Saccharomyces cerevisiae S288C: one gene and its partners. Changing the gene in region 3 together with the main gene of any one other region gives a genetic interaction. Each region holds a gene or a part of one and is shown on either strand. Other genes may lie near its edges. The genes, in order: CNB1, SRO7, YUR1 and KRE1.

Region 1 (4,168 bases), on a different chromosome or scaffold from region 3:
CTTGAATACGTTGAAAGCTTCAAGTTGTAAGTTTTTAGATTTGTCAGTCATTAAAGTCATTATGAGCTTTAAGTTTTCTGGGGAGTTGATATATATATTCATCAACGCGTTGTTAGATCTTATCACAATTAATGAGGCCAACAGTTTAGTGCTCTGCCTTTTCGTTACGTAGCTTCCATGAGCCATTAACTTGTTAATACATTTAATGAATCTTATGATATTAATCTCATTACTGAAGAATTCCTTAGACACTAATTTAGGATGTGCAGTAAATGCGGCACTTAATATTTGTAAAGATTCCGTACTGATTTCGAAATTACCCAGTTTCGCAAACTCAAAGAATTTCCATAGTTGAGGGTCCTTTAATATAATCCTACAAAGTTGTTCGTATTTGATACATTCAATAATCATATTCCCTACCGTTAAAAAGATATCTTGGCAACCCTTTTGTTGTAGAGCAACTTCCGCAGTCCTCAACATTAAAGATATGGTCTTTGGTTGCGAGACTAAATAATCTACTGTGACGAATTTATTATCCTTAGAGTATCCAAGGCATATAGAGAATATAAGCATGCATTCTCTCCTTGCTTCGAATTCCAAATCCACAAAATGAAGTAGCAGTTCATAGAACACGTCGGCACGATGCATGGCAGTATAAAGCTCGTCAATGGCTTCCGGAGTTGGGTGAGGATCCGTATCACCGACAATAAAATGTTTAGTGCCAATTAGATATTTTGTGCACTCTTCTTGTACCTTTCGTTTGTTATCCTGAGTCAGCGAGGGTGAGCTGAATTTATTTAGTTGTTCGATGATCAACCTGGCATAATCGGAAGGGGTCTTGGGGTTTTTCTTCCACCAAAATGCCATGTCCAAGTCTTGATTTTTGTATTTCTTAAACATTTGTCTTCGATTTGCGGATAATTTATACTGGGGATTACGTGCAATAAGCCTCTTACGGATAACACGTATTCTTTGGCTTAACTACTCCGAGATTAAATCGTATTGTTAAAACAAGAAGCTATCAACGCCTGTAAATATTGTGTCAGTGCCACTTTTGAAACAATTCTGAGACCACTTTTTATTTTTATTTTTCCAAGAGTGCAATCAGCGGGTTTCCTCCTTATTTGCGTTTGGAGCAATCTTCCCTTTTTCGAACACAAAATCCAAAATTTGGAGCAATTGGCTCTTCAAAATCAACGGTACATGCTCCTTATATTGGTAATAAATAATTCATATCCAGCCTCCTCTTATGGCTGCATAATGGAAAGGATCAACGCTTGCAACACAAAAATAAATTAAAAAAAAAAATTACTGAAGGATGCGAGGTTCGAACTCGCGCGGACAACCGTCCAACAGATCTTAAGTCTGCCGCCTTAGACCACTCGGCCAACCCTCCATACAAATTTTACTTACTGGAAACTCCCGAAGTGTTGTCAACACGTTTTAGGATATGAACTTATCCAATAAACCAATATCACAGTTTAACTTTATTGGAATAGGAATCAAAGATGGTCTGTCTCCTAGCATTAGTATTGCTGGTAATTATCATATACGGTGTAAGAAGATAGTATGATGATTGAGAGATAGTCATCGGGTTTAACGGAAGCTGATATGTAAGGATTGATAATGCAGTGGGATAGTGAATAACAACACATAAAACAAAGAAGAAGTAATAATCTTAATTTATATAACTATTGATCCCCCTTTGTGCATTGCCATATTTTTGAGGAAAATCTCTGGTATTCTGTATGTCTGATATCAAAGCTATTAATAACAATGGAATCCCAAAAATTATCAAAGTACACCCCGCAGTTATTACATGAGATCAGCTTCCATCTTGGTATATCTCGTCGCTGACATATATGCTCTCTCTCATCTCTATGTTGTATCATTGCTTTCTTATTGTTTGTTACATATACATATATATATGTATATATCATCAGCACTCTAACTGGGCGAGTGTGCGTTCCTTCCTTAAAAAACAATATCGCGTATTATTCTTCTTTTCTTAAAAATATTGGCATACCATAAATGAATGAAGTGTCCCCTAGTCTTACACATCGTATTGCAATGTCAGACTCTTGGCCACTTCTGTGGTTTCGATAGCATTCTTAAACTCCTCGAAACTTAAACGTCCGTCGCCGTCGCTATCGTTTTCCACTATCGTCCTATCTACTATCTGTTGCAGCTGTTCATCGTCCAGATTAGAACCTACCATAATCTTCAACACGATGAACAACTCACCATTGGATATGAAACCGTCCTTGTCAATGTCGTAGATTTTGAAGGCGAATCTTAACTTTTCGTCCTTGGACCCACGCCCACTGAAAATGGATAATCCTGTGATGAACTCTTGAAAATCCACGTCCCCACTATTATCAGCATCGAAAACCTCCATTATACGTCCAGCAAGAGGGTTTGACGAAACGCCAGGAATGCTCATAAATTCATTTTTATCAATAGACCCTGAGCTATCTCTATCTAATTTCATGAATCTCTTCCTTAACCTTTCAATTTCATCTCTATCAACTGTTCAAAGTGTCAGTGTTAGTAAAATCGGTTAATTTCCCCTTTCTTTCTTTTCCTCACTCCGAAGTGTACATACAATTTGTATCTTCTAAAAGACCATCCACAATTTTGGAAGGAGCAGCACCCATTTTAAGAAATAAAAATGCTTCTATGGATTCTGATCACCATTGAGTTACCAAGTTTTAGCTACTAGATGTTCCGTGTAAACCACACCAGCACAAAGCACCTTTATTGCATTCCGCTAAAAAAGAAACTAGTGATTTTTAAGATGATACCCGGCCTTCCACGCGGTCACTTCGCACGGAATGTATATCCCATTTTGGCGGCTAATTTCCAAGGCTTCCATATAAAGAGTTAATTGTTTTATTATTAAATAGTTTATTAGTTAAAATCTTGGATTTAAATAGAGAAGTCGAGGGAAACAAATTATAAGAGTCATTTGTTTTCCTTTTTCATAGCGTCTTCGCGATCAAATCCATAACCACGTGCGACACCGGAAATACCTTCTTCGATATCCGCTCCAGTATTATCAACCTCAGTAGAGTCGAAATCGCTTCCTAGACCTTTCCACGAACGATTCTGCAGTGCTGATGCTGAAGTGGATACAGTACCTTTAATGACGGCACCTGAGGCGGTATGTCTTGTAGTCAGTTGTTTGGAATCGTCGTCGTCGGCCGCCTCTAACTCCAGGTGCGTTAGCGCTCGCAGTGGTCTTGATGTGCTAGTATATCTTCCCCTAACTACATCAAACTCCGGTTCATCGGAAGTTGTGCTGGCAGAGATGGTATCTTGTCCGCCCAAATTCTGCTCGATTTCATCAATGGCGTCTCTGAAGTCCACAACCCATTTCCCGGTCCATGTGACCTCTTCGCTCAAGGCCAAGTTTAATTCATAAGGTGTAATAATGGGCTTGTAAAACTCGTTGAATTGATCAACGATGATACCGCTTTGGCTACAACCGAGAATGCACCAAATATCAATATCTTCAAAGTTTGCTAGCTTGGCCACATTTGGCTTTCCGACAACAAATAAATAGTGTTTTTTCTCACGAGTTTTGATAAGCTTGACCAGCTCGTTGATAGTTTCTCTTGTATTACGTAGCGACAGCGTGTTGACCAGAATACCTATACATCCCGCTGTTCTTGCCACATGCATGTACTTGTAACGCCTCATTAGAGAGGGAAATGGCCCCGTTACCATGCCAGGTAAAGCCGGATCGAAAATATGAACAGATTGAAACACAGTAGACAAATACAGTAATCTCGGATCCTGTGGGGTGGTCAAATGGAAAAGATGATAGTCCTCGGGCGAGATGTTGTCTGCTTTGTCGTGCTGACCAAACAGCACGCTATTTTTTTCGAACACACCCACCTGGTCTACGTCTTCGGGAACGTGAAAGGTGTCAAGTATGGTTACGAATTTTTCTTCTACCGCAGAGGTGTTCACTTGGGAATATATGATATTTGTGTAGTGCAGGTCGCCCTTCAAAATATTGTACAGCTGTGACAAATGCTTAGAGAAGGGTGCGTTTGCCATCAAACAAATTTTGGAGGATAAGTCTGGGAATGCCCTCTGAAAGTTCTCCACCACCAGTGCCAAATCCAAAAATGGAGTTCCGAATGAGTAAACCACGGGCAAG
Region 2 (7,150 bases), on a different chromosome or scaffold from region 3:
CGCTGTTCTATCCGCAGATGCCAACATTACTTCAAACGAAAAGGCTAAACAAGGTTTGGATGATATTGCTACTTTGATGAAGTATACCGAAGCATTTGACATTGACTCATTCATCTCTTTTGATCTTTCTCTTGCAAGAGGTTTGGATTACTATACAGGTTTGATCTATGAAGTTGTTACTTCTGCATCTGCTCCACCAGAGAATGCTTCAGAATTGAAGAAGAAGGCCAAATCTGCAGAAGACGCGTCAGAATTCGTTGGTGTCGGCTCTATTGCAGCCGGTGGTCGATATGATAATTTGGTCAACATGTTCTCTGAAGCTTCCGGCAAAAAATCTACTCAAATTCCATGTGTTGGTATTTCATTTGGTGTTGAAAGAATATTTTCTTTGATCAAACAAAGAATTAATTCCTCTACAACTATAAAGCCAACGGCTACACAGGTGTTCGTTATGGCTTTTGGTGGTGGTAAGGACTGGACTGGTTATTTACCCGAAAGAATGAAGGTTACTAAGCAATTATGGGATGCTGGCATTGAAGCTGAATATGTCTATAAGGCCAAGGCTAATCCTAGGAAGCAATTCGATGCTGCTGAAAAAGCGGGTTGTCACATTGCCGTAATCCTCGGTAAGGAGGAGTACTTAGAAGGTAAATTACGTGTCAAAAGATTGGGCCAAGAATTTGCCGATGATGATGGTGAATTGGTTAGTGCGGCTGACATTGTTCCTATTGTTCAAGAAAAGTTATCACAAATTCATGAAGATGGTCTAAATGAGGTCACTCGTTTAATTAAAGGATTATAAACTTGATAGCTCATGTATTTACAAACCTTCGTAAAACTAGACATGTATAATGAAAAATAAATCGATTCAAATTAATTTATAAAGCATATAGAACTAAAAAAAAATAAGTATAGAAGGAAGTTGCTCATTACCCTGTATGAATTAGTGTATGTATTTAAAAACCAAGGGCACCTTTCATTACATCTTTTCCAGTCTGCTCAACAGCCTCGTTCATTGTTTCTCCCATGGCGGTAGCATAGTCGTTGAATCTATCTTCAACGGCGTCCCATCTAGTTTCTACAGCTCGAGAAACATTTCTTAGTACCCCGTAACTACTGTTCCTGCCCTTACGGGTGGGCTTGGTATACTGGTGTTCCGGATGGTTCGCATTATTATCGTCTGAAGAACGCTCCGAGAAACTTCCCTCAGCAATGATGCTCTCTTTGTATTTGGATGCAGGTCTATTCACGCCACCCAATAATTCATTTAATTGAGCGGGAGTACAATATACAGTGCCTCTTGCCCACTGTAATGAATTTACTTGTGGCCTATAGGGAATCCTGATTCCATTGATGTACAGTGTGTCAGAAACTGGCGCTAGCGTATCCTGTTCCTTGACAGTAGAAAATAGTGACGCCTGAAATTCACTCACTCGAATCGCTATATCACCATTTCTTAAAACAGATGATTCTGTAATGTATTTTGCGGCAATTGGAAATGGAATATGTTCAGACATTTGTTCTTTGAAATCTGGAATAGTAAAAACTCTTAGATGGCCATTGATTTCTAATGTAATTATTACGGTTAGGTTCTTCCTATCATTATTTTTCTCAACGGTTGAGATGTAAGATAAACCTGTCGCGGCAAGCGGGTATTTGAAACCTTTATGTGTACTTTTAGATTTGCCCAGTGTTATTAATCTGATATCATCGAATCCAGTTATTAATACAATACCAGGAATGCAAAGGCCTTTACTTAAATTCTGCATTTTTGGAATAGTTGCCAAGCAGCTAGATTTTGTTTCCTTTGAAAATGCATCAATTTTGTGTATCGGACCCTTACTGGTAACATTAGTAATATCCATTAGTTGCACATCGAACTTTCCACCTGATGCAGGAAGAATTTTGTATGTGATTACCTCGCCCATATCAGTACCACAGACCATCAATATACTAGAGTAACCATCGTCTCCATACTCCATAATTACGAATTCGATGCAGGTAACACATGCGCTTTGAGCTCCCGAGATTTCTCTAATGTTTTCCATGTAAATGATTGCAGGACCTCTTCTATCGATCAACATAAGGCTTCCGGCAGCATATGCGATTCCAACAAATCCAATATTACTGTTGTTGATTGCAGATGTTTTCCCTTTGTTGGCATGCACGGCAGTTGATGGCATAAATCCCTGCCTAACACCGGTAGGTGCCCTGTCTCTCACATCGACGAGAACACCATTCGTATTATTCAAAGAAAACCGCCTGAAATTCATCTCCAGGTCACCGCTTTCTGGTCTGTTCTCAACACTGTAAAACTGGTTTACTTCATATTTGAATAAAACAACGTCTCCTGTTTCAATTGACACCGCCAACTCGAGAGTCTCTGCGGCAAAAGATATCTTATCAACTGCTAGTTCTTTGGCCTTGTTCAACGTTCTTGATAGATTCACTTCAAAGCTAGCATTATCTTGTATATCCCCATGGGAAGCATCGTATATCCTAACTGAGCCATTAGAATGGCCGGTAATGAATGCTGTACCGTACTCAGCGGGAAGTTTTTGCCTTTTTGTTCTAACCCCTCCCTTCAACAAATAATCCTTGTTTTGAGCTGCAGAAAGCGCACCAAGCCATAATTTGTTTGGTACAGAAGCGGCCATTGAAGTCGTGGCTAATGGTCTCAGCCAGGAAAGATTTTGAGGGAATAAAGAGGCTTTATCTGTAAATATTCCAGAAGGATATAGCATTGTTTCTATCTCACCGTTACCTAGGATTAACAAAATTAACCCCGGATTATGACATCCTGCAAAATACGGGGACTGTCTTGGAATTGGTAGTATATTCACTATTGGCACATTGGTTGGTAAGGGAAATATCTTCATTTGTTTCGGATTTGCATAGTAGTTCTTCATACCTTCATAAGAGGTTATTGAATATCTAGGTGTGTAACCGAGGTCGATCATAGTGAGACTTTGATTATCTCCTCTGCTGATTGACTTATGAGAGATGAGTAGTGAAGTATATTCTGGATTGTTTTCACACATCCAATACACTTTCGAAATTTTGGCAGCATTAGTACTAGAATCGCGTATGTAATCAGGTTGTGGAACATTGATTTCTGTCTCAAACACTGTCCTTGCCATGATCATATGGCCTGAATTAGCATCCCAGAAAACCAAGGAATTGTCTTCATGAATAGTGATAATGTGCAGTGAATTAGGGTGATATAAGGACTGAATAACTTTGGGAGTTCTCTTTTCATTGGTTTTTTCTGAGAAGTCGCCTCCTGGAGCAAAAGGTGGTAATTCGTATATGAAGGATTGTTTGATTTCGTTCTCAACCAATGAGTATGTTAGAGTTACATACTCATATGATATTAAAACAGTTCCAATATCTCTAGGGTTCCACTGAATGGATACTATAGGTGATAGTCTTGCAGCCGGAAAAAATGAGCTTTTTTGTAGGTTGTCTAATTTGAAGGAGGAAAGTTGATCCCTATCTATGTCGTAAACTATCATTGAACCATTTTGAAGGCCGATTAGCATCCAGTCTAAGGATGCATCTGTGTCAATTGATGTTATTTTCCCCGGAACAAACACTGTTGTAAGTACTTTTTGAGAATATAACGATAAAACATACACAGTATCTTTTGCGTTAATGACCACCAAATAGATACCTTTCACAAATCTCATTTCTTTTATAGCAGATCTATCCTCCAGTTTTATAACCACTTCCACTTGTTGCTGGCCATAAATATGGACTTCCCCTGTGACTGTAGCAATTGCCAATAAATTTTGGGTGAAATCGAAAGCGGCTGCGATCGGTTTACTGCTCATCCCATATTTGTTGGTTTCTGCTAGTGAAAAAATTTTATTTTTGTTATTTGAACTTATAGGAATCTTCAAAGAAGAGGAAGATTTCGCATCTTTGGAAATAGTAGATGTCTTTGAATTTTTGGATTTAAAAGACGCCTTTGAGTTCTCAATGGGTGTCTCTGAATTTTGGCCTTTTAGGGACTTAAATGCTTCCTTAACATTTTTCAGACGTTTGCTACCGAACATTTTGTTTTGCTCTTATGTGTATAGAGAATTAGTCAGAAATAGTATTGCTTGCTCTTCTTGTTTTATATTTAACATATTCCAAGATTTAAATTCTAACGTGATTAGGTTCATTTCGTTTGAATTTTCATTTTTTACTTTTAACAAAAGCGCCGAACAGGATTCTAGAAATTAAACAAAACCAACTAAACTATAAAAACGGATATTTAGTTCGGTATTGAAATGCTAAAGAATAAAGAAAAGACGACCTTTCTAAGTTATTTTTACTAAGTGTTCCATGAAAGTAAATAATAAGCCAAACTTTTACAAGAATAGCATAAAAATACATACTCATTATACATAATGCAATATTAAAACCTTTATTTTATCCGCTGTTAAGGATTAGCTTCAGCATACGGTGTTCCCCTGCACTCAGTTCTTCTGCATCGCTTAAACCTTCTTCTTCCATAATCACCGGGCCACTCCATGGTCTTTCTTCTATCTTGTCATCATTTATTATAAAATCTCTGGATAGCAACTTCTTAATATCTACATGTTCTATGAGCCCAATTAAATTTGTTACTTGCTCTTTTGCCTTTGATGAGACAGTTTGGAGTATTCTTGATGCACCGGGTAGAGTTTCCAAAACCTCAAAAAAATGCATAATTTCCTCCTTAAAAATTTGGACAGTATCAAAATCACAATGTTTACACTTTTCTAAAATAACCAATAATTTAGGTTCAGTAACCAATCTTTCAAGAGCCTTGAATTGTTCAGATTTTATAAAGATATCCAGTACATTGATTTTTAAAAGATATTTTTGGGGCGATTTAACTATATCAAAAACCTTCTTTCGGGATCTGGACAAGCTGTTTGAAGCTTGTGTTCTCTTTTTCACCAAAGTAGTCAGCTCTTTGAGCCGGTACAAGTCTTCGAGCTGATCATTGGCAAAATCTATTCTTGTTTGCACTTGTTCCTCGGTTAAGGACCCCAATGAATTATTTTCAAAACAGGCAGTTAATGGGGTACCTCCTGTAAGCTCCCTTTTCATTGACCAATATTTGCAAATATCAAATGCGCCTGCTGGTGGGTTAGCTAAGCCAAAAAAATCAACGACCTTTTGCAATATTTCAGCAAAAACATGTGGTGCTACCGGCGTTTGATTAGGTGTTTTCCAAATTGTTTTGTTGAATTTTGAATTTGTCCTATCATTAGCTTCATTATGCTGAGGAGTTTCGGTTTGTAATGTAGAGAGTAGAGAGAAGTATTTTCTAGCTTTATTAATACCTTCTATACTCGTTTGCCATCCTCTAGGTGCATGCTTGTGGCAGAAACTTTCGACTGAATACTTTTGGGAGAATTGATTAGAGGCCAATTCTTGAATAGTGCATTTCCCTTTACTCATGTAGAGACCAGCTCGACGGGCACACGTGACATGATATGCTGTAAAACAGTTTCTTTGAAAGCACTGAATGCAAGCACCCATCTTCTTTTTACAGATGTAGCAGTTAAGTTTCCATCGTGATACGCTAACATTTTGAACGCCTTCTATAGGTTCCATATAATGTAAGTTTGAAAAGTATAGCTCTGGAAGCCATAGAGCACAAATGTTATGTACCCAAGAACCGGTGTCTGTTTGTTTGAATGCACCTGTATGACTTGGACACATTAGACAAGTGGCAAAGTTATTTTTTGAGATCATACATCGTCTACATAACCATTTTCCTTCCGGGATAAAAATTATACCGTAACATTCTTGATGCACAGCAATATCGCATCCATCACAAAAGACAATTGTATTCAGATTGTCACTGTCTGTGCCTAAACAAACTGCACACGCCTGGTCCATCGATAAACCTGTTCCATCATCAGAACCATATAGCTCATAATTCTTACAGTCCCTTAGAATATTATGCCTAGCAATCAGACTATTCGTTGAGGGTATATGTTTTTCAATATGGAACCATTCAGTTTCTAGTGTAGTCATTAAAATTTCAAATATTTCGTGAGACATTTGATCTTTAAAATACCTCTTATTAAGGTAGTGCAAATATAATTCATCCTGTTCATCCATGTCATACTGAGGCTTGAAATTAACAAGATTGGGTGAAATACTAGCGAATTTCTGAATTGCACTCTTTGTACTCGTCGAAATAGTAATATTCGGGGCTTCTTTACTAGAGAATTTGGTGAAGTAGGGTGCCTCCACACCATCGAATTCTTTTTGTTGTTGTTTATAACTCTTCCTATTTCTTACTTTGTTTATATGATAGTACCTGGATATAAAGCTCTCATTAAATCTAACGCAGTATGGATTTTTCTTACCTTTTAACTCATTCGTAGTTATTTTACATTTTTGAAATTCCACTTCGTTCTTCTTCAGTACTAGTGGTTCAGTGGTGACTCTCCCCTTGAAAATCAATTCTTTAGTTTGTACGCTTTTGACACTCCCGATCTCTCTGTTATTCCGATTTGAAATATCATCTGAGTCAGTATCGGTGCTGTTATCCTTTGTTTCCACTAAGGGAACGATGAACGGCAGTAAAGTATCGGCATTAAGATCAGGATAAAAATCTTGGAAGTGCTTTTCTTCACGTAGTTTAGGCCCATCATCTAATGATCCCCTATTCATTAGGTGCTAAGTCGTACAACGCCCTTGTCAAAGTTATTTGAATAAAAAAACCTAATACGTTGAAAAACTGCACGGCTTTCAAACTTTCAAACTTGTTTATTATTATCGTCTTCCATTTTTTTCGGTGCTACAATTTGCGATGAGCCGAAAGACATATATTCTACGTATATTACACGAAAAAAAAAGTTAGTTCGGACAGGTACATATTTGTACAAATGTATATATATATGTGTGTGTGAGGTTTATAAAAAAAGTGAAGATATTAATATTTATGATGAAATCTCGTCATATCTTGGTGGTTCAGGACCCGGATGAATTATTGGACCAGGCCCCTCTGTATCATTATCATTATTATCATTATCATTATAATTGTAGTCGGTATTGGTAAAAGTGCGCGGACTATACCGTGGTGTGAATATATTATTGTTAAAGTTCATTGTGACAATGTCTCTTTTAAATAGCGTGGCCGCGGTCTCCTGTTCAA
Region 3 (5,024 bases):
TCCTTGATTAGTATTTGAATTTAGGGAAGAAAAATTGGACGAATAATTAGTTGCAGCCAGACTCTGCCTTCTTTGGAAATCTTGACGATCATAAAGGGAGGGAACAAATCTGGATCCAAATTGGGAAGGATGGATAGCGCCCTGCTGGTATACTTGCTGTTGTTGTTGTTGATAGCCAGAAGGATACTGGCCACTGCTATTTCCTGCCAAACTCGTATTAGAGCTGGTGTAAGCGGGATAACTATCGTACTGGAAAGGATTTGGGGCAGGTGCCCTGGCTGGAGGTACAACGAGACTAGATTTACGTCGTCTGTACGCATCTAGACTTTCGTTACTGTTTAAGTCATCGTATTGAGGGGGATACACCAGGTTTTGTTGAGAATTAGTTACTTTTTCCTCATTCCAAGGGTTAACAAAGCAAAATTGAGAATTCTGTTGTTGTTGTTGTTGCTGCTGCTGCTGCTGCTGGTGATGATTCTGATGCTGCTGCTGTGGAGACCTTTGAGAGCCTTGATTTACGTACGATGGATTCCATATACCTCTCCCCATATGGCTATTGTCTGGGCTTGCTCTACCCGAGCCCATACTAGCATCACTGTGGGTCACAAGGGTCGGGCTCAAGGAGTTATTCATGTTGCTATTGGAGCTGGACGAGTCGTTATTATTGGATGAGTTCATGATTGCTCAAATTAGCATGTGAAAAAAAGATAACGAAATTATGTTCCCTTGCACAATGGCTGTTGCTCTTCACCAAAATTCTTCTTTCGATATATTCCCAAATCTAATAGTGAGAAATTTGTGTAATACCCCCAGTAATGGCCCACCAATTGTTTCCTTATATCTGTTTAGCATTGCGACTCATTCATTGTTCAGCCCAGAAGGGGTAAATCTGAGGAGGGGGCATTGCTTGCAATGGTTCAGAAGGGGCGGTTAGGGTTAATAAAGCCATCGCGCTATTTTGATATTTTTATTAGGCCTTTTATATTTTTTTTAGTTTTTTTCTCCAAATCCTAAATCCTTTTTAGGTGTCATTTACGTGCAACGCGACAATAGTGATATTGTCATTCTTCAAACTTTTTGCAAGGTAGCTATTAAACATACCTACACACATACGTACATGCTTAACGGTGAGACAAAAGTAAAGAAAGAGACTTGAATGGGTTGCTGCATCTTAATAAGTTGAGTTTGAGGGCGAAAGTACACAAATATTCATCCGTATTGAAAATATATATATAAGAATATAGAAAAATGAATGTTTCTACATCAACCTTTCAAACAAGACGGAGAAGATTGAAGAAAGTGGAGGAAGAAGAAAATGCAGCTACTCTACAACTGGGCCAGGAATTCCAGCTGAAACAGATAAATCATCAGGGTGAAGAGGAGGAATTGATTGCCTTGAACCTAAGTGAAGCCAGGTTAGTAATCAAAGAAGCTCTTGTAGAACGTAGGAGAGCATTTAAAAGATCGCAAAAAAAACACAAGAAGAAGCATTTGAAGCACGAAAACGCCAATGATGAAACTACGGCAGTAGAGGATGAAGATGATGATCTGGATGAAGATGACGTCAACGCTGATGATGATGATTTTATGCATTCTGAAACTAGGGAGAAGGAGTTGGAGTCTATCGACGTTCTGTTAGAACAGACAACGGGAGGAAATAATAAAGATTTGAAAAATACCATGCAGTATTTAACAAATTTCTCCCGATTTAGAGACCAAGAAACCGTCGGGGCAGTTATACAGCTTCTGAAAAGCACTGGGTTACATCCTTTTGAAGTGGCGCAACTAGGTTCTTTGGCCTGTGACACAGCTGATGAAGCAAAGACTTTAATTCCAAGCTTAAACAATAAAATATCAGACGATGAGTTGGAAAGGATACTAAAGGAATTGTCAAACCTAGAAACACTCTATTAATAACTGTATGTATACGTGTGTGTAACTAGTAATGAATTTTCACCCTGTGGAAGTTAGGCCTATTTAACAGGAAAAAGGACAGGATTTTAAATCTCGTCTTGCTCTTCTTTTAAGAAATATTTGCCGCTACCGTTTTTCCACCATCTCATCAAACAACTATGTGGGGTTATATCTATGACACTTTCATCATCGCTTTTGCATCTACACCTCTGATCGAGCCTAACAGCGTAAGATGCTGGACAGGTGCCAAACGGTGAGTGAAAATAGCCAAGTTCGTCAAAATGAATGATTTCGTCAGGTCTCAGCAGTAGGGAGACACCAATTGAATGTACAGGTGCGTCACCCCACCTTTCGTAGTAAAATCCGCCCTTGGCATCTAAAGTTTCAAAAAAATGCTTATATTCGTCACTTCTGAAGAAATTCAAGTCGCCAATCTCAAAATTCGACCAAAAATGGCACAAATTGTAGTCAGAGTTTGCTTCAACAACGGGATAATGCTTACCAACTAGCCCTGAATCGGTCAAAAATGCATAGGCACTGTCCTCTTTACGTAAAATGGTCTCTTCGCTGGCCACTAAATACTCCTCTACCGCGTCCCATAAGGTTGGTATGGTTTCTTCATATTCATATAATGATATGACAAATCCGTATTTTTTGCCCTTCAATCTCATAACTCTGAACGGGTCATATGGGAAATCGCAATAATACTTGACATTGGGTTCCACCCTAAAGTAGTAATCATAGTTGTCCAGTATTGACTGCCGGAAAAAAAAACCAGAATTAAACCGACACATATTTCTATATGACTTGGATCCCCCATATAAAACACCCTCATCCTCCATGACTCGAAGTCTTTCTTCAAAAAGTGTATCGTTAATCCATTGCGGCCGATTCCAATCTTCTGGTGGTATTAAAGCATATTGGGTCTTCCCACTCGCCATTGATGTTGTAGCTTCAATGAAGTCTTGATCGAAAGGAACGTCATTTAGAAAAGTCCAATCATAATGATACTTGTTGTTAAATCTGTCCTCTAATGATCTCATTGAATCCAATGCCCCTTCTAATTCTGAATTTCTCACCAGCATTAAAATTGTTGCATTTTCTCGTAGGTGAAAAGAATCAGAATCATTCTGTCTGGTATAATTTAAAGTGTAGTCGTCGTAGCTATTGCGGGAAAGTTTTACTTTAGGAAAATAGTTTCTTCTTCGACTTGTATCATATTGTTCTTTTACTCTTTGGGAAAGAGCAGTATACGTACTGTCAATCTTTTGGTATTTTCGTATGAGGAATAACTCTTTGCCAAAAATATAGATCATAAAGGTCCATATTGGTAAGAATATGCCAACGATGTATAGCGAGCCTCCTTTTGCCATTTTAACAATTTCTGATGATAAACTTCTTTAATTTTGATAGCGACTTCCAAGCATTAGATTTGGAGATGATATGAATAAGCAGTGACAGATTATTTCTGCAGATGAAAAATAAAGAGGCGTAGTACTTTGTCTTTAACTTTCCTTTATTAAAAAAATGTATAGAAAATTTCCAAAGCGACCAGTAAAACAGCTAGTTACTCTTCACACACAAAGAAAAGAAGAAAATGAAGGGGAAAGTGGTTATGTGGCAGGTATAGCGAATAAAGAATTTAATTAAAGAATACATTTAAAGCAAATTTTCAACACAAAATATTGAAGGAATAATCAGAAAATTATTTAATTATTGTACATATTATATATTCAAATATTTATTATGAAATATCCCTAACAAAAAGACAATAAAAGGATAATCAATAATAAAAACAAATATGGGCAAAATAATATCATATAGGGGGTCAAGATAAGATAAAGGTAATATAGTTATGGATTTCTTCTCCTTAGAGATTAGTTCAACAAGGTAGCAATGTCGGATGGCAATTCTTCAATTTGAGTGGAGTAGAACTTTTCTAGTTCTCTCATAGCGCCAACGTCTTCGTTAGTAACAAAGTTGATGGCAACACCCTTTCTACCGAAACGACCACCTCTACCGATTCTGTGAATATAGTTTTCTTTGTTAGCTGGTAAGTCGTAGTTAATAACCAAAGAAACTTGTTGGACATCGATACCTCTAGCCAACAAATCAGTGGAGATCAAAATTCTGGAAGAACCACTTCTGAATTCCTTCATGATGGTGTCTCTTTCTTGTTGTGGTAAATCAGAATAGATGGCAGAAACGGTAAATTTGTCGTTTCTTAACTTAGTGGTCAATTCTTCGACCTTTCTTCTGGTGTTACAGAAGATGACAGCTTGAGTAACGGAGATAGAGTCGTATAAATCGGTCAAACACTCGTATTTGTATTCTTCTTCTTCAACATTAACGTAGAATTGTTTGATACCTTCCAAAGTCAATTCATCCTTCTTAACCAAAATTCTAACTGGGTTTCTCATAAATTTGGTGGTAACTTCCAAGACGTCATTTGGCATGGTGGCGGACAATAGAACAACTTGAGTGGTTGGTGGAAGTAAGGTGAAAATTTGGTAGATTTGTTCCTTGAAACCAGAAGACAACATTTCATCAGCTTCATCTAAGATGAACATCTTGATCTTGTCAGTTCTGAATCTACGTCTTTGGATGTTGTCAAAAACACGACCTGGAGTACCAACGACGATTTGAGCATCTCTCAAACCTTCAGCGTCTTCAACAAAGGAAGTACCACCGATACAAGCGTGGACCTTGATGTCCATGTGGAAAGCCAAAGCCATGACAACCTTTTGGATTTGCAAAGCCAATTCTCTAGTTGGAGCCAACATCAAAGCTTGAGGAGCCTTGACAGAGGTGTCAATTCTTTGCAAAGCAGCAATGGAGAAAGTACCGGTCTTACCAGTACCAGATTGAGCTTGAGCCAAGACATCGTGACCTTCAATAATAGGCATGATGGCACGTTGTTGAATGGCAGATGGTTCTTCGAAACCGTAACCGAAAACACCTCTTAACAAGTTTTCGTCCAATTCCATATCATCGAACTTGTAGACGACCTTGTCATAGTTGGTTTGAATTTGGGATTCTTCAATATCAGTAATACCTTCAGACATATTGCAATTACTATTTATTAGTTTCTTGTACACACCAGTCCTTTG
Region 4 (4,509 bases), on a different chromosome or scaffold from region 3:
TATGACTAACGCAACCTCATCATGGAGCGACATCCCTTCTGAACATTGGCAATTTGTATTTCACAAATATAAAACATATAATACTGCACCACAATGGAGGTTTGTGGATGATGAATCAGATGACTTCACAAAACAAAGAGGTACATGCCAAATCAGGTTCACTACTCCAAGTGATATGAAAAATAACGTATATTTGAATTATGTGCTGGAAAAATTTGCTGCCAATCACAGAAGATATGTACTATCTTTTAGCGAAGATCAGATACGTGGGGAGGACGCCTCTTATGAGACGGTGCATGATGCAACCGGTATAAATTGTAAGCCACTATCTAAGAACGCCGATGGTAAAATATACTATCCATGTGGCCTAATTGCGAACTCAATGTTCAACGACACGTTCCCCCTGCAGTTAACAAATGTAGGGGATACGTCTAACAACTATTCATTGACAAATAAAGGAATCAATTGGGAATCTGATAAAAAAAGGTACAAAAAAACCAAATACAATTATACACAGATAGCACCTCCACCATATTGGGAAAAGATGTATCCAGATGGATACAACGAGACGAATATTCCTGATATTCAGGATTGGGAAGAGTTCCAAAACTGGATGAGGCCAGGTGCTTTTGATAAAATTACAAAACTGATCAGAATCAATAAAAACGATACTTTGCCAGCGGGTGAATACCAGTTGGATATCGGTCTGCATTGGCCAGTATTGGAGTTTAATGGTAAGAAGGGAATCTACTTGACTCACGGTTCTCACCTTGGCGGTAGAAATCCATTTTTAGGTATAGTTTACCTGATTGGAGGCTGTATTTGTGCTGCCATGGCATTGATATTATTAACGTTTTGGCTCTTCGGCGGTAGAAAGATTGCTGATGCATCAAGTTTGTCATGGAATATGAAATAGAAAAGGAGTGATGGTTTTCTTTATTTTTAACCCTGTAAAATTTTTTTATTTTTTTATTTTTACTCTTATATATGTATATGTTTGTGTTTATTTCTGAATAAAAATTTATAAGAACCAAATTAAAACCGTTAATAGCCCACCCAAAATTGAAGTAAACGAACTCATACCTAGATGCTGGGCCTCATTATGCGAAACTGTTTTCTTTATTGCAGATTTAATAACGCCTACAGTACCGGTTAAAGTACCCATCCCAATAGACCCCACGGAGGGAGAAGCGACTGTTACGTACTGGGAGGAGAAACGCTGGACAAAAGTAGTTTGCACAGTGATAGTGTTGCCCTGTCTAACAACAGTGACCCACATGGACGTTGGCGCACGTGTGGTTGTGTAAGTGGAGGTTGTACCTTCAGTGATGGTAATGTATGAGTCAATAGATAGACTAGTGACAGCAGACACAGGAGGTTCTGTGAAGTCTGTGGAGGGGTCTGGCCTGGTGCCTGTTTCAGCTACTGCGCTCCCTGTCGATGTGGTCGTCTTTACACTGGAGGATGAACCAGACGAAGATACAGACGAGGACACAGACGAGGAGGCGGATGAAGTAGCACTGGTGCTAGAATGTGTGAACGTTTGAGTCAATGTAACTGTGGTACCCAAATCGTTTGTCGTGGTAACTGTAGATAAATACAGTCCCGAAGACAACGATGAAGTTGCGGTAGGAACAGTGGTGGTTGTCTTACCAGTAGATGAGGTAGAAGTCGTCGTGGTTGGTAGCATAGTGGCTCTGTTGACTGTCTGAGTAAGAGTGACGGTGGTTCCGACATCGTTAGTGGTAGTGAATACCGTAGTGAAGAAACCTGTTTGAGCGGTAGTTGTAGCAGCAGCAGCAGCGGTGGCAGGGTCCCATATTGTGGTCTCCGTAACCAGGGCCCCTGCGACATTTGTTACCACTGTAACCTGAGTTGTCACAGCTGCCATGACCGCAGCTGACCACAACGACAAAGAAAGTAGCAGCGTAGCGAATGAATGTAATAGCGTGCGACGCATCATTTTTTTTTTGATTGTCTTGCAGAAGTTGAAGAGGTCTTTACTGTAGCATATACAAGTGCTTAATTCTTGATTTTTATTTTCTTTTTTTCATAATACACGTTATAGAAAAAGCCCCATTCTCAGTTTATGAAAAAACGCGATATCACCATACACGCTGAGGTAGGGGGATACAAGGTGAAGAATGTACGCAATAAGGCGAAGTATATGGCACAATTGAGCAGTAAAAGTGTTAAAATATAGTGATATATATATATAAAATACGAGAGTACCAACTATTATGATCTTTTAATGCCCTCTTTCCGTTGAGATATTCATAATAGTAACCGTCACGGAACTGTCGCTTTATACGGTGAGGGGATTATTTAGTTCCTAATTTATATTAGATAAAGAAGATAATAAACATGAGGGATGCTGTAAATGAAAGTGAAATAACTGCTAGCTAGAAGAGCGGTAAGCAGCAATGGCCAAAAATAACCACATTTCTGCCAGTGGTAACAGTACCTCTGGAGACCATCGTCTTAAAGAGGAGGTTCTGACCCCAACTACATCTGCCTCGACTCCTCATAGAATATTTAGCGTGGACGATGATCCAAAGGAGATCCAAAACGATATCAGGTATCTTGAGGGTCTGCATGAAGGGTTGAAGTTCGCCCTGCATGCCAATAAATCCAAGCGATCTGTAAGCTCGCAATCACCAATCGTACATAGCAGCAACAACACGCTGCACCACCACGAGCACCAACAACACTTGCCGCCCACACTAGAGTCGCTATCCTCCAAGTCGCACTCTGTGCCAGACTTAAATACAGCTACTCCCAGCTCTCCGAAACGAATGCATTCATCTATCCGGGAATTACCTCATGATGACAATGATGACGAGGACGCCAATGATGACAGTCGGTTCATTATACACGACTCGCACGGCCATGATTTACTTATAGACGAGATCAATTGCCAGTCGCCTTCACACTTGGAAAACAATGACCAGGCGTCTAATGCTTCGTCCACAGAGTCATTCACTTTACGAGAAAGACAGGACGCCATCAACGAGACCCACCCCTTCGGTATCAGGATATGGAAGCCTGCTTTATATAAGAAACACCGTTCAGTTCAAAGAACCGCGGCGCAAGACATTCACGAGACTCAGTTGAAGACTATTACCTGGGAGGTGACTTGTTCCAATGTGCTATGGTTTATTTTGTTCGGTTTCCCCATTGCGATACTCTTCTACTCGGCGGCTATTGTGGTATTTTTACTAGGCGGCGGAGGACTGGTAACGAACTCTGCGAAGGAGTACTCCAAGTGTCTGTATAAACTCGCCAATTATTTCCTTTGGCCTTTTGGCAAAATGGTATACTTGTTGCAGGACGAGCAATATTTACAAGAAGATAAGGATGAAGGTATTAGTATGCAGCAATTCTACAATTGGGTGACTTCATACTCCAACAGGCTGGTCTTCCACCAGTCTCAGGCCAAGTTTCAGCAAAGAGAGGACCATCCGGCCCCTGCAACGGAATCTTCGTCTTTGATGCCGCCCGCTAACACAACAGCAACACCGCTTAACTCGAACCATCCATCATATAATTCTATTAGACACGAAATTCCGCACGCAGCGGCTCAAAGACGGTACTTTGGGAGAGGAAAATGGAGCTGGGGTCGTGTTCTTTTCTATACAATCTTCCATCTCGTCTTGCAACCCATCCTTGCCGTCTTATCTCTTTGCCTCTGGCTCCTGGTGTTTACCATTCCCATGAGTAATGTTCTTTGGCAAATTATGTATCATTGCAGAAGACATCCGCTTGCATTAGGCTTCAAATATGTCGAGAACTCCTCCCAATCGCACGAAAATGAAATAACCCAGCAGCAATTGAACAAAAATATCCTCTTATGTACGTTCCGTGCCGCTGGCTGGCATTACTACAAGTACACAGTTGATGGTACAAATGTTATTGTTGTGAATTTAATATCCATCGTTTTCTTTACAATTTTTGACTTTTATGTTTTGAAAAATTTCCTGCATTGGAAAACGTGGTTCACATACGAATCCTCAATATTCATTCTTTGTTTGACATCCACCATCCCACTAGCATTTTACATTGGACAAGCAGTCGCATCGATCTCTGCTCAAACTTCCATGGGTGTCGGTGCTGTCATTAATGCATTTTTCTCGACCATTGTGGAAATTTTCTTGTACTGCGTTGCATTGCAACAAAAAAAGGGTCTTCTAGTGGAAGGATCCATGATTGGTTCCATTCTAGGTGCCGTTCTATTATTACCAGGTCTGTCCATGTGCGGTGGTGCTCTAAATAGGAAAACACAAAGATACAACCCTGCTAGCGCTGGTGTCTCTTCCGCATTGTTAATATTTTCCATGATTGTAATGTTTGTCCCCACCGTTTTATACGAGATATATGGCGGCTACTCGGTAAACTGTGCAGACGGTGCTAACGACCGTGACTGTACTTTCTCGCATCCTCCCCTGAAGTTCAACCGTTTATTCACTCATGTTATTCAACCTATGTCCATATCTTGTGCCATTGTTCTCT

What was found.
Region 1: mutations in YUR1 (region 3) and CNB1 together harm fitness more than expected from each alone (negative genetic interaction), as found in Saccharomyces cerevisiae (3 studies listed by BioGRID).
Region 2: mutations in YUR1 (region 3) and SRO7 together harm fitness more than expected from each alone (negative genetic interaction), as found in Saccharomyces cerevisiae (3 studies listed by BioGRID).
Region 4: mutations in YUR1 (region 3) and KRE1 together harm fitness more than expected from each alone (negative genetic interaction), as found in Saccharomyces cerevisiae (5 studies listed by BioGRID, with this or other methods).

The regions. Positions count from the first base shown.
Region 1 is NC_001143.9:81,436-85,603, reverse strand, and holds CNB1 (calcineurin regulatory subunit B), read right to left. Parts: upstream 2,658-4,168; coding exon 2,606-2,657; intron 2,530-2,605; coding exon 2,054-2,529; downstream 1-2,053. Other genes in the region: HYM1 (Hym1p), read right to left, coding at 1-900; DPH2 (2-(3-amino-3-carboxypropyl)histidine synthase), read right to left, coding at 2,965-4,168.
Region 2 is NC_001148.4:631,031-638,180, reverse strand, and holds SRO7 (Rab GTPase-binding protein SRO7), read right to left. Parts: upstream 4,059-7,150; coding exon 957-4,058; downstream 1-956. Other genes in the region: HTS1 (histidine--tRNA ligase), read left to right, coding at 1-802; NTO1 (Nto1p), read right to left, coding at 4,420-6,666; CSR2 (Csr2p), read right to left, coding at 6,936-7,150. UniProt on the Saccharomyces cerevisiae protein: Acts as an allosteric regulator of polarized exocytosis by promoting the targeted fusion of vesicles with the plasma membrane.
Region 3 is NC_001142.9:149,713-154,736, forward strand, and holds YUR1 (mannosyltransferase YUR1), read right to left. Parts: upstream 3,288-5,024; coding exon 2,001-3,287; downstream 1-2,000. Other genes in the region: serine/threonine protein kinase YAK1, read right to left, coding at 1-678; DNA-directed RNA polymerase II subunit RPB4, read left to right, coding at 1,249-1,914; TIF2 (translation initiation factor eIF4A), read right to left, coding at 3,792-4,979. UniProt on the Saccharomyces cerevisiae protein: Possible glycosyltransferase involved in N-linked glycosylation. Transfers an alpha-D-mannosyl residue from GDP-mannose into lipid-linked oligosaccharide, forming an alpha-(1->2)-D-mannosyl-D-mannose linkage.
Region 4 is NC_001146.8:32,273-36,781, forward strand, and holds KRE1 (Kre1p), read right to left. Parts: upstream 1,964-4,509; coding exon 1,022-1,963; downstream 1-1,021. Other genes in the region: LEM3 (Lem3p), read left to right, coding at 1-916; VNX1 (calcium/hydrogen antiporter), read left to right, coding at 2,424-4,509. UniProt on the Saccharomyces cerevisiae protein: Involved in a late stage of cell wall 1,6-beta-glucan synthesis and assembly.